Arabidopsis thaliana: one gene and its partner. The protein of the gene in region 2 interacts with the protein of the main gene of each other region in a pairwise test. Each region holds a gene or a part of one and is shown on either strand. Other genes may lie near its edges.

What was found. Proteins that work in one complex are often made in the same cells at the same time.
Region 1: the proteins of AT1G16705 (region 2) and AT2G45820 interact in a two-hybrid assay, tested with the Arabidopsis thaliana proteins (one large-scale study listed by BioGRID).

What each region holds. Positions count from the first base shown.
Region 1 is NC_003071.7:18,861,515-18,866,716, reverse strand, and holds AT2G45820 (Remorin family protein), read left to right. Parts: upstream 1-1,975; 5' UTR 1,976-2,140; coding exon 2,141-2,294; intron 2,295-2,984; coding exon 2,985-3,038; intron 3,039-3,133; coding exon 3,134-3,221; intron 3,222-3,293; coding exon 3,294-3,570; 3' UTR 3,571-3,764; downstream 3,765-5,202. Other genes in the region: DTA2 (downstream target of AGL15 2), read right to left, coding at 1-110, 214-393; AT2G45810 (DEA(D/H)-box RNA helicase family protein), read right to left, coding at 4,399-4,477, 4,563-4,636, 4,736-4,824, 4,902-5,082, 5,176-5,202. UniProt on the Arabidopsis thaliana protein: Exhibits a non sequence-specific DNA-binding activity.
Region 2 is NC_003070.9:5,709,636-5,715,153, forward strand, and holds AT1G16705 (p300/CBP acetyltransferase-related protein-like protein), read left to right. Parts: upstream 1-2,452; 5' UTR 2,453-2,598; exon of another isoform or gene 2,599-2,809; 5' UTR 2,810-2,833; coding exon 2,834-2,880; intron 2,881-3,241; coding exon 3,242-3,356; intron 3,357-3,545; coding exon 3,546-3,698; intron 3,699-3,812; coding exon 3,813-3,887; 3' UTR 3,888-4,117; downstream 4,118-5,518. Other genes in the region: AT1G16700 (Alpha-helical ferredoxin), read left to right, coding at 377-430, 846-924, 1,025-1,078, 1,189-1,280, 1,361-1,474, 1,573-1,640, 1,752-1,863, 1,964-2,059; HAC12 (histone acetyltransferase of the CBP family 12), read left to right, coding at 5,057-5,298.

The DNA of each region.
Region 1 (5,202 bases), on a different chromosome or scaffold from region 2:
AATAATTGAGTTTGGTTCTGAACGACGCCGCATTGGTTAGGGAATCTTTGGCTTGTGATTGGTGATTTTCTGATACTAGTTGTTACCTGCTTCAGACCTGTAAAAGTTGTCTGAAGTACAGAGAGATATGAATTTATTAACTCTTCAAGTTCAAGATTCACTTGATTGAATAAAAAGTTTCTAAAAAAGAAGTTACTTCAGATTCGAACTCACGAAATCGAAACAACCCAATAAGTCTAAGAGACCAGCAGATATGAAGAGAGAGGTGACGAGGAACAGAGTAGCTTTAGCGATGCTTTTTGCTGGATGCGACGCCGTTTTAAGATAGACATACTTATTCTTGTTCGTTAGAAGATTGTTGTTGTTCCTCTTCATGCTTTTCCGTTGAAGCATGAATCTATATCTATCTCAGCTTTATATATATCTATGTTCACAAACATTCAACAGGAAGAGAAGAAAAACGAGAATCAGGTGAGATTAAACGTTACCGAAGCTAGGAGGAAGCTCAAAGGTTTGATTCTGGTGATCGATTGGTGCTCTTCCACGAGGATTTGAATCTTGTTTCACGTTATCTTCAACACTAACCAGAGTTCACATCTTTTGTGTTAATGACGTTCATATTTTTGTGTGAATCTTGTTTACTTTTTAGTTTTTCGAAGAGTTAAAATGTTTTTAAATATTAAATAGATAATATTTTATTAATTAGTAGGAGACATTTGGTCATCCATATTTGGTATTCCTATGCTCAAATCACATATGGACATTGATATGTGATACACAAATGTTTCCCAAATAATCGTCTCTTATTAACGTTGTATTTATTGGTAAATAACTAAATACAAGACCTTTGATGTTCTTAGAAAAATAATCTGCTTACTACAAAAATAAAACTGCAAGAGTTCAATTAATTAAAGTCCTCTTTGGGAAAGTTTGTTATAAGTGCTTTAAACTGAATAAAAGAATCCGAACTTCGAAGAAAGAAGAAAGAAGATAAACCTTAACCCATTAAATAAAGGTCAGTGACATCATAGTCCATATTCGACCACTCATCATCATACAAGACAGATAATTAATCGTAAATAATTCCATGTTGTAGAGTACTTTTTATTATTATACAAATACATTAATACATCTTTCACAGGCTGTTCGAAACTGTGAGTCTGTGATTAGTGATTAGCCTTAATTAATTTACTTTATTGCTTTGTTAGAAAAAAAATTACACCTTTCTTTAAATTAAAACAAGTTGGGCAGGAAATTTAAAAACCCGTTGGGCCATTAGGATTCACAAAAGCCCAACACCTACAAAAAGAGATGTCTCCATCTCATAGTCCATATACCACATGCTTAAACCAGTTTAAATTGCATATACCACGCGCCACATAACCGGAAAGTTTTGTACACGCGCGAGACACAGACATTATCCTTTTTGTATCTGTCTTCCAGCGTGTCGAGTCAGTGAGGCTCCACGTCACCCTTTGATCCACTTAAATTTTAAAACTAAAATAATTGTTTAAATGAATTCGAGTGATTGATATTTTATTATAGATTTAATACACACCCGACACTCTGTCAATTCTATAGGCATACGAGCTCACTCCAAATTTAGATTCAGTTTTTTAATACGAACTTTTTAGTTAAGCCAAGATTAGCAATAATATAGATCATTTATTTTCTTGATTGTAGTTTGATTGTTGTTTTTCTCATAATAAAAAAATCCCAGCTAAAATCTGATTTTCAATTTTAAACCAATTTATATGGTAAACAAAATTTTAGTTCGGTATAATTGGAAGAATTAAGTTTTGTTGAATATCAGGAAAAAAGAAGGGGAGGACAAATTTTCTACAGAGGTGACGTGGCATCATTGAACCACTTTACTTGTCGGCAGTGAGGTGTGTTTAATCACGTGTAACGCATCCAATGCGTATGAGAGCTTTACAGCCGCACGATCACATGGGTACAAAAATCAACGGCGAAGCAAAACAAGAGTCTCACACTTATTAAACGCGCGTAGTACGCTCCACCGGTATAAGCTAACGGAGGATATAAAAACTCTTTAACTCATTATTGTCCTAAAATCTCAATTTTATCCATTTTCACGGAAAAAACATAAAATCTGTTCTTCTTCTTCGGCTGAGAGACAATGGCGGAGGAGCAAAAGACGAGTAAGGTTGACGTAGAATCTCCGGCTGTTTTAGCTCCGGCGAAGGAACCGACTCCTGCTCCGGTGGAAGTCGCGGATGAGAAAATTCATAATCCACCTCCCGTCGAGTCCAAAGCTCTTGCCGTTGTAGAAAGTAAGCTTTCTATTTACATACGTGTGTGTTTTATATATGTTAATCTTCTACTTAGGAGGATTCATTCATGTTTACGATGAATTATTATAGTATGTAATTCAGAATTCTTACGTTTGGAACTAAGGTTTCAATTTACAATTAACAAATGGATTTTCTTAAGATGCCTAAGGTTTTTGTGAGTTCTTTTGCATATGACTTGGTCTATACTCTATTTGTTTAGGTGAAATCCATCGCTGTTAGAATTTACAACTTCATCATGGCATTTTCAAGAGAATTATGTTTTTCGAGGATGATATTATTAAAATATGATTAATAGTAAAGCAATGTTCCCTGTAATTAGTGTTATCAAAAAGTGTATGGAATCATGACAAATTAGTTGTGGACAGCTATGAATTAAGGAAAGTGGGTTACTTTCTTAATATTCCTACATTTTTTCCTTCCTTTAAAGTTGCTTAACTCTTGGAAAATAACAATTAAGTACTAACTTTCCAGCAGTTTTTATAATCCTTGAACATTCATTTGTTCATCTTTATTTACTATCTGTAATTCCTTCTGTGTGGAGTTTCGTTTTATAAACTACTATTTTGATGACCTTATTAGCCAATTAGAGCAACAAAATTTAACTTAGTTAAAAGTGAGCTTCTTGCAACAAATATCCATGTGTTATACTTATAAGTGTGCTTCTTGCAGAACCCATCGAGGAGCATACACCTAAGAAAGCTTCATCTGGTTCGGCCGATAGAGGTCAGCTGATAACAACACTTTGTTTCTCATGTCCAGTTTCTTAGTTACTTAGTTCAGTAATTTACTTCAAATGTGTGTTGTGTGTGTTTGGTCAGATGTGATACTTGCCGACTTGGAAAAAGAGAAGAAAACGTCATTCATCAAAGCATGGGAAGAGAGTGAGAAGTCAAAGGCTGAGAACAGGTAAACTTTCATCATCTTCTCACCCAAAGATTACTATTGCTTACAGATCTCTGATGATCTTGAAATGGACAGGGCACAAAAGAAGATCTCTGATGTGCATGCTTGGGAAAATAGCAAGAAAGCAGCCGTAGAAGCTCAACTTAGGAAGATCGAGGAAAAATTAGAGAAGAAAAAAGCGCAGTACGGTGAGAAAATGAAGAACAAAGTAGCTGCAATCCACAAGTTAGCAGAAGAGAAGAGAGCAATGGTTGAAGCTAAAAAAGGAGAAGAGCTTCTCAAAGCTGAAGAAATGGGTGCTAAGTATAGAGCCACTGGTGTAGTACCAAAGGCAACGTGTGGATGTTTCTAAGCCTTTATTGAATTTGTATCTTTGTAACAATTCATCTCTGTTTCTTTCTTCTTCTTTTGTTTTTGTGTGATTCAACAACTCTTTTTAGTTTTTGTTATTTGTTTGGTCGTTTGTGTCTTGTTTACATATTGGGTGATTGTGTGTAAAAGTGAAAGATTAATGGAGTATAATTGTATGAAGCATCAAATCTTGTTTTGCCTTTTGTTTCAGTTGTACGACTTCACATCTGATCTGTAACTCTTAAAATGCTAAGACACTTGACTTGACACACACCAACTATAATCCTTAAACAGTTCAGGCACAGGTGGAGATCTAAAAGCAATAAACAAGCGAATGAAGTTAAAATGTCTTCTTCGGTTTGATCTCACTACTCGGAAATTCCTCTCAAGTCTTCAAGATGAGAGAACATCAAAATGAAAAGGTGAAAAGGTTTCTAAGAACATGAAAATTAGAGATGAGAGAAGACAACTTTAAGGTTCATATCATGCAGCAGAAGAAGTCTTCAATTCAAACCAAATCAAGCCGGTACTGCTTTAAAGGTTTAGACACAATCAACCGCTTCCATCGCCATCAACCACCTATACTGTCTCTTCTTGCCTCAGTACAGTACTCTATGTGTTGCCTTCATCTCTAGAACGAGCTAGTGGCTGCCAAAGCTGAATGATTTGCCTCCTCACTACACCTAAATAACCGCAAACCAAAATCAATGGAAATTTGGTCTATGAGCAATGCAGGTTAGTTCTAATGTCAAGATGCCTAGAGAGGGATTTGTCTCACCGGTTAGTCCATCAATGCCTTGCCGGGTAGAGAATGTACACCAGGTAGAAGTTACTGACAGTAGATTGCCTTGTCGATAAGTGAAGGTATGGGCTTGATTTCAGTTCCAAGTTCTTGCTCTGTCTGATACCTGTTGGAAACCAAATAATTGAGTAAGAAAGCTATAGCATCTATGAAAAGAGAGGCCACACCAGTTGAGAAAAAGAAACACGAACATTTTGAAGCGGTCCTCATAAGTTACCAAATTCACAGCCAACCCAAGGTGTCCAAATCGTCCTGATCTGCCTACCTGGTAATATAATGAAGCAAAAACCCATTCACAATTTGAACAAATAAAACAGAGCAGGTTCTCAAGAAGATAAACCAAAATCGGCTTCCCTTAACATACCCTATGTAGATACGACTCAGAAGTCCTAGGAAAATCGAAATTTATCACCACATTCACAGCTTGAATGTCAATCCCACGTGTAAACAAATCTGCAACAGACAGACATTCCCCGTGAAACATAAACACATTTGTCAATGTTCAAGCACATGAAATACACAAAACGTACCAGTGCAAACAAGATTTCTGCATGCACCATTGCGGAAATCATGGAAAACCCTGTTCCGATGGTCTTGAACCATCTTTGCATGGATATAGAAGCATGAGTAACCAAGTTCTGTAATTTTCTTGGCCAACAGCTCAACACGATTAACAGAGTTGCAAAAGATAATGGATTGGTTTATTTGGAGCTGCAATAGATAAAACAATATTTCCTTTAAAAGATACATCAAGTAGCCAGAAAATAAAACATTGGGGTTTTAAGACTGTAACAAAACTCTGACCTTAGAGAATAGCGTGTTAAGGCAGTG
Region 2 (5,518 bases):
TGGAAGGAATTGACTGTCATACCAAATATAACCGGTTTGATTGCCCGGTTATGAGCTGAGTAAGTAGTTAACCAGAAGGGTCAATTTGTAAATTAAGAGACATCTGATCGAATTTTGTTCCGACGACCGTGAATCACCAGCAAAGGATTCGTGTCAATGTTCTTGTGAGATCGAACTTTCTCTGGGTTCGTGCAGAAGCTTTGCTTTTTTGAGTATCGCGTTTAAGGTTCGGATGGAATTTTAGGCTTTTCGTTGGTCATTCTCTTGTTCAATGCTTCTTTTGCTTGATTAAGCTTTTCAGCTAATCGGATTTTCTTCTCTCACATCAGGCACATCGAAGAAGAGAGACCCTAATTTGATATTTTGAGTTCTATCGATGGCTTCGCTACTAGCTCGCAGGTCGTTCAGTGCTCTCCGAGCTCGACATCTCGTAAGAATCTCGTAGGCTCTTCCATTTTATATCGCTTATATTCCTAGAAATTTGGAATTGCTGCTAAGTTTTTTGAAATCACTAGTTGGTATTGTCTGCCCCGGCCGGCTCTAGGCATGTGCAAGTGGTGCTGCTATACATGTTTTTGTCTTTTTTTTTCCTGGGTATTGTTCCTCTATGCATCTCTTTGTATTGCGTTGGTACATCAATCGTGAAGCTTCATTTTTCCTTTAGATCATATACTCTTCCTTGAAGAGAGAATGTATCGCCTAAATGTTGTTATCTCAATCTCTGCAAATATAAATACTTTAACTGAGAGCGTCGTGGTAGTTAACTTTTACTTTCAATAGCTCTTTTGGTGGCTATGCTATGGAATTCTTCTCGCATTTAACATCTACCTTGTCTTTGTTGATAGGCTTTTTCAGGGCAAGGTTTACAGGGATCTCATCTCTGTGGGCTACAGTCCCGTGCTATATCTTATGGAAGCAACAAAGGTATAAATTTTGTTGCTTCCATTTGGGTTCTCTTGGTTAATTTAGGCTATGACTTTTCAGGAATATAGGTTACTAATCCTTTGCCTCTGGTAATATGTAGATGATGAAGAAGCTGAGCAGCTTGCTAAAGAGATCTCCAAGGACTGGAGTACTGGTAAGCTATTTGATCCAGACACTTTTCAACCTTTCTATTCTCTTAGCATTCCTTCCTGATTACTTCCTTCTGCGAGTCTTAGCGATTCCTGATGTTTCTTACTTTTACAGTCTTTGAACGGAGCATGAACACCCTATTTCTCACTGAAATGGTCAGGGGTTTGTCACTGACCCTCAAGTACTTCTTTGATCCAAAAGTTACAGTGAGTGGCTGTCTCCCTTGACTCTAGTAATTAGGCTGAAAGAAAAATATTCTGATTCTCAAGTTTTATCTTTTGTGCAGATCAATTATCCTTTTGAGAAGGGTCCATTGAGCCCTCGTTTCCGTGGTGAACACGCTCTTCGAAGGTATCCAACTGGGGAAGAACGCTGCATTGCCTGCAAACTCTGCGAAGCTGTGAGTTTTTGAAGTCTATGCTACTCGAGAATTCATACCACAGCACAATATTGACATAAAGTGTGATTTTTCATGGATACTGGTCTTTTGCTCATCAGGTATGTCCAGCTCAAGCAATCACAATAGAGGCAGAGGAGCGGGAAGATGGAAGCCGCAGAACCACTAGGTCACCCTCTAAGTTCCCGTTTATTAACCATATATATATTATTTAATACTGTCTTGTCTCTATGGTTCTTCTATATATTTCGTAGTGTAGTGATTGTTCGGAGCTGTACAGGTATGATATCGACATGACGAAATGCATCTATTGTGGTTTCTGCCAAGAAGCTTGCCCTGTTGATGCAATCGTGGAAGGACCAAACTTTGAGTTTGCAACCGAGACACATGAGGTCTGTATAAACAATTCAGAAAGACATAAGATTGCCCATGATCTTAAAGTTAGATGTGTATTATTCGATAAATGACATTCTGATTCTTTTTGGTGTGCAGGAACTTCTGTATGACAAAGAGAAGCTTCTTGAGAATGGAGATAGGTGGGAGACAGAGATTGCAGAGAATCTGAGGTCGGAGAGCCTCTACCGCTGAATATTGATCCGAAAATGCCTTTTGCCTAATTCTTAAGGAAACGTTTTCGTTTGCTTCTGTTACAAATAAAGATGCTTCAGCCTTTGCACTGTTATTGCTATCTGTATTTCTTGAGTTCATACCGATGGCAAAATCAAATTTGGCTTTGTTTCCGGTTTGAGCTGGACCGTGCGGTAAATGGATTATGATATGATTCAATGGTGTTGTTACTCTCAGTGTCGGTCGGTCAAGTGTCTAACAAAAAATTGCTAATATCTGAAGAGAACATTAATGATGTAAAATACAGAGAAATACAAGGGTAAAATGGTAGTTTAATAGACTGGCATGAACATGCATAATTGCATATCTAGTAAAAACCTCTGATTGGCAGAAACTCCAGCTCAGGAACTTACTCTATTTGGAATTTCGTCTTAAATTCGCTTTCTCATCTTCTTTTACTTCTCGGTTTCAAGATCTCTTTCAGAGATTTCTCATTTTACTTATCCTCCTGGCTTGCGTGAGTTTAGACGTGCGACATTGTTTCTTCATCGTAATCATAGGTTACGTTTTCTTGATCTCGTAAGGAAGAATCTTCCTCACTAGGCTCTGATCTTTGCGGTGGAAGATTGCTTCTTTCTTTGTGTATCAAATTTTAAAGTTGGATTGAAGTCCTAGGTTTTATCATCTGAGGTTTAGATGTATCTTCTTTCTTTGCTTATGCTTGGTTTTACTACTGATTATGATTATGCTGGTTAATTGGTGTTGCTTTAGGGATTTCACGTTACACTTGCTCCCATGGACAATGATGTTTTCCAGATTCGCCGGTCCATGCGAGACGCTATGTAAGCCTTCAATTTTTCACATTCACTCGTTCCTCTTGCACTCTTTTCCTTTTCTCTGTTAGTTGCTGCTGTACTACGGATTGAGTTAATGTGTCTGGGAAAGTGGGAATGATCTAACTTATTACTGCTTTTTGGCTCTGTGATCATGTATTTCTGCTTTGTTTCTTAAGAAACAATATCATCTATTAGTGTTTCTACTACTGAAATGTTACTTATTTGGATTCCAGTCTTGTCACATTGGTGTTCATAGTTGTTTTCCTCTCTGCGTGTATATCTCCGAACCACACTAGAGGGTTTCTTGATGGGTTGTTACCTCATTTGAGGAAACGTTTCAAATTAACTGATCATCCAATCTTTCCAGCTTCGTCCAGTTAGAGAAGCGAAACCCACTTCCGAATGATGATGCATCAAAGGGGAAGCATTTAGATGCTGCTAAACGCTTAGAGGAAGGACTTTTTAAAATGGCTATGACAAAGGTACATCAATTATATTTACTTGATTAGTTATAAGCATTTAGGATTTGATTTACTGAGAATTTCTAAGTTCTAACTAAACAAGACTGGTTGATGCCTTCTGACATGTTGTCACTGAATCCAGCTTGTTTGCTATATGTCCTCCCTTATAAATATTTTCGTTTCTGACACTTTTAACTTCAAAACTCACAGGAGGAATACTTGAACCCGTCAACTCTTGAATCTCGCTTGACAAGCTTAATAAAAGGCAGGCAATTGAATAAGTACAAGCACCAACATGCTGATTCTTCTACGCTTGGAACAACCATAACACCTACTCCAGGAGTCTCTGCTGAACCCACAATGGTACATTACATACATCGAATTATTCACGAGCTTTAATTAAGAGGCGTATAATTCGAAATGTAATATTATAAACATTCTGAACTTTGTGATGTTCCAAATTTTTTTGGTTTGGAGCAGGATAATGAGAACAGAGATCAGTGCGAGACAGAGATTGCTGAGAATCTGAAGTCAGTGAGCCTTGAGCCATGAAGATTATCAGAAAGTTCTTTTTACGACTTGTTTGGAAACGTTTTCATTGCTTATGTTACAAGGAAAAGATGATAACATATACAATACTAACGCTTCTGCCTTCTCCATTGCTACTGTATTGCTAATTGTAAGATCTAAAGTAGGAATGGTAAAACCGGTTATGATTTGTTTCCGGTTAGACTTGGAACATGTATGAATTTGAATGGTTTATTATTAGTTACTCTTGGTAATCGGTACAGAAAAAAAAGTAGTTGCGAAAGTAAACAGAGCAAAAACTACAAGGGTGTGAAGATTTAAATTACTGGAACATTTGATCGGACGGATAGGAGCGCATGTATCTCCGACACTTCTCCTTGGCTGTTGGATTGTCGACCTTGGTTCCCCCAATTAACTTTGACAGAGGTTCCTTGATGATTCGTATTCAGACATAAGTAACATAAGGTAAGTGTTATTTAATGTGTCTTTTGTTACTTACAAAATCAAAACCAAAAATCCCTAAATAGCCAAAAAAAATAAATCAAAATCCCCAAATCGAAGAATTCAGACTTCTCTGATTTCGAAATAATTTGTCGATATTTCAATTTCCTCGTCGTCTAGGTTTTGGAGGAATCTCGTTCTGGGATTTGTCTACGTACTTGTGTTTGATCCTATTTTTTATCCTGGCTTGTGTGAGTTCACACGTGCGACATCGGCTGTTCAGCGACTTTATTGCTCCGTTCTACTTCGTTTTCAAGATTCGATCATCGTAATCTTTAGTAACGTTTTTGGGGAAGATTTTTTTTGCTGGGTTTTGCTCTTTGCGGCTGAAGTTTGTTTCTTTGTGAGTCAATTTCAAGGTTATTGCTCCTCCTGTTGTCTGTTTCGTAATTGTTTACAATTTTGTTGGTTTTGCTATTGGGTTTTAGTTGCTTTGATCATAGTCTATGATTCTAGTTCGACTGAATTGCAATCATGTCACTTCAATTGAAAGTGTGGAATATTATTTTGCAGGACACTTGACGGTGCTAGGTGTATTGAGCTGCTACACTGAGATCACTTGTAAGAATAATAAAGAGCAGGAGATGAACTTTCGATCTTTTGGCTTCTCGGGGACAGAAGAGTTATGCAGTGCCTGTTAGTGTTAGTTGCAAGACGAATTAGGAGACGACGACGAAGATTTAAGAGATAACATGAATGTTCAGGCTCACATGTCTGGTCAACGGTCTGGGCAGGTTCCAAACCAAGGGACAGTGCCGCAGAATAATGGAAACTCTCAAATGCAGAATTTAGTTGGTAGTAATGGTGCTGCTACTGCTGTTACTGGTGCTGGTGCTGCTACTGGTTCTGGTACTGGTGTAAGGCCTTCACGTAACATCGTTGGTGCCATGGATCATGATATTATGAAACTTCGACAGTACATGCAAACTCTTGTGTAAGCCTTCAATTTCAGCTATAGCACTGCTTGCTTGTTAGTTGCCTCTGTGTTATGGATTGAGTTAATGTTGTTTCAATGTGGGCGGGGAATGGACCAACGTATTACTCCTTTGGCTGCATTACGGCATATCTGCTTCATTTCTTAAGAACTTAGTGTTTCTGCTTTCTGAGATGTCTTGATGGTTACTGCATAGGGGACTATTTCTAACTGCCCTTCT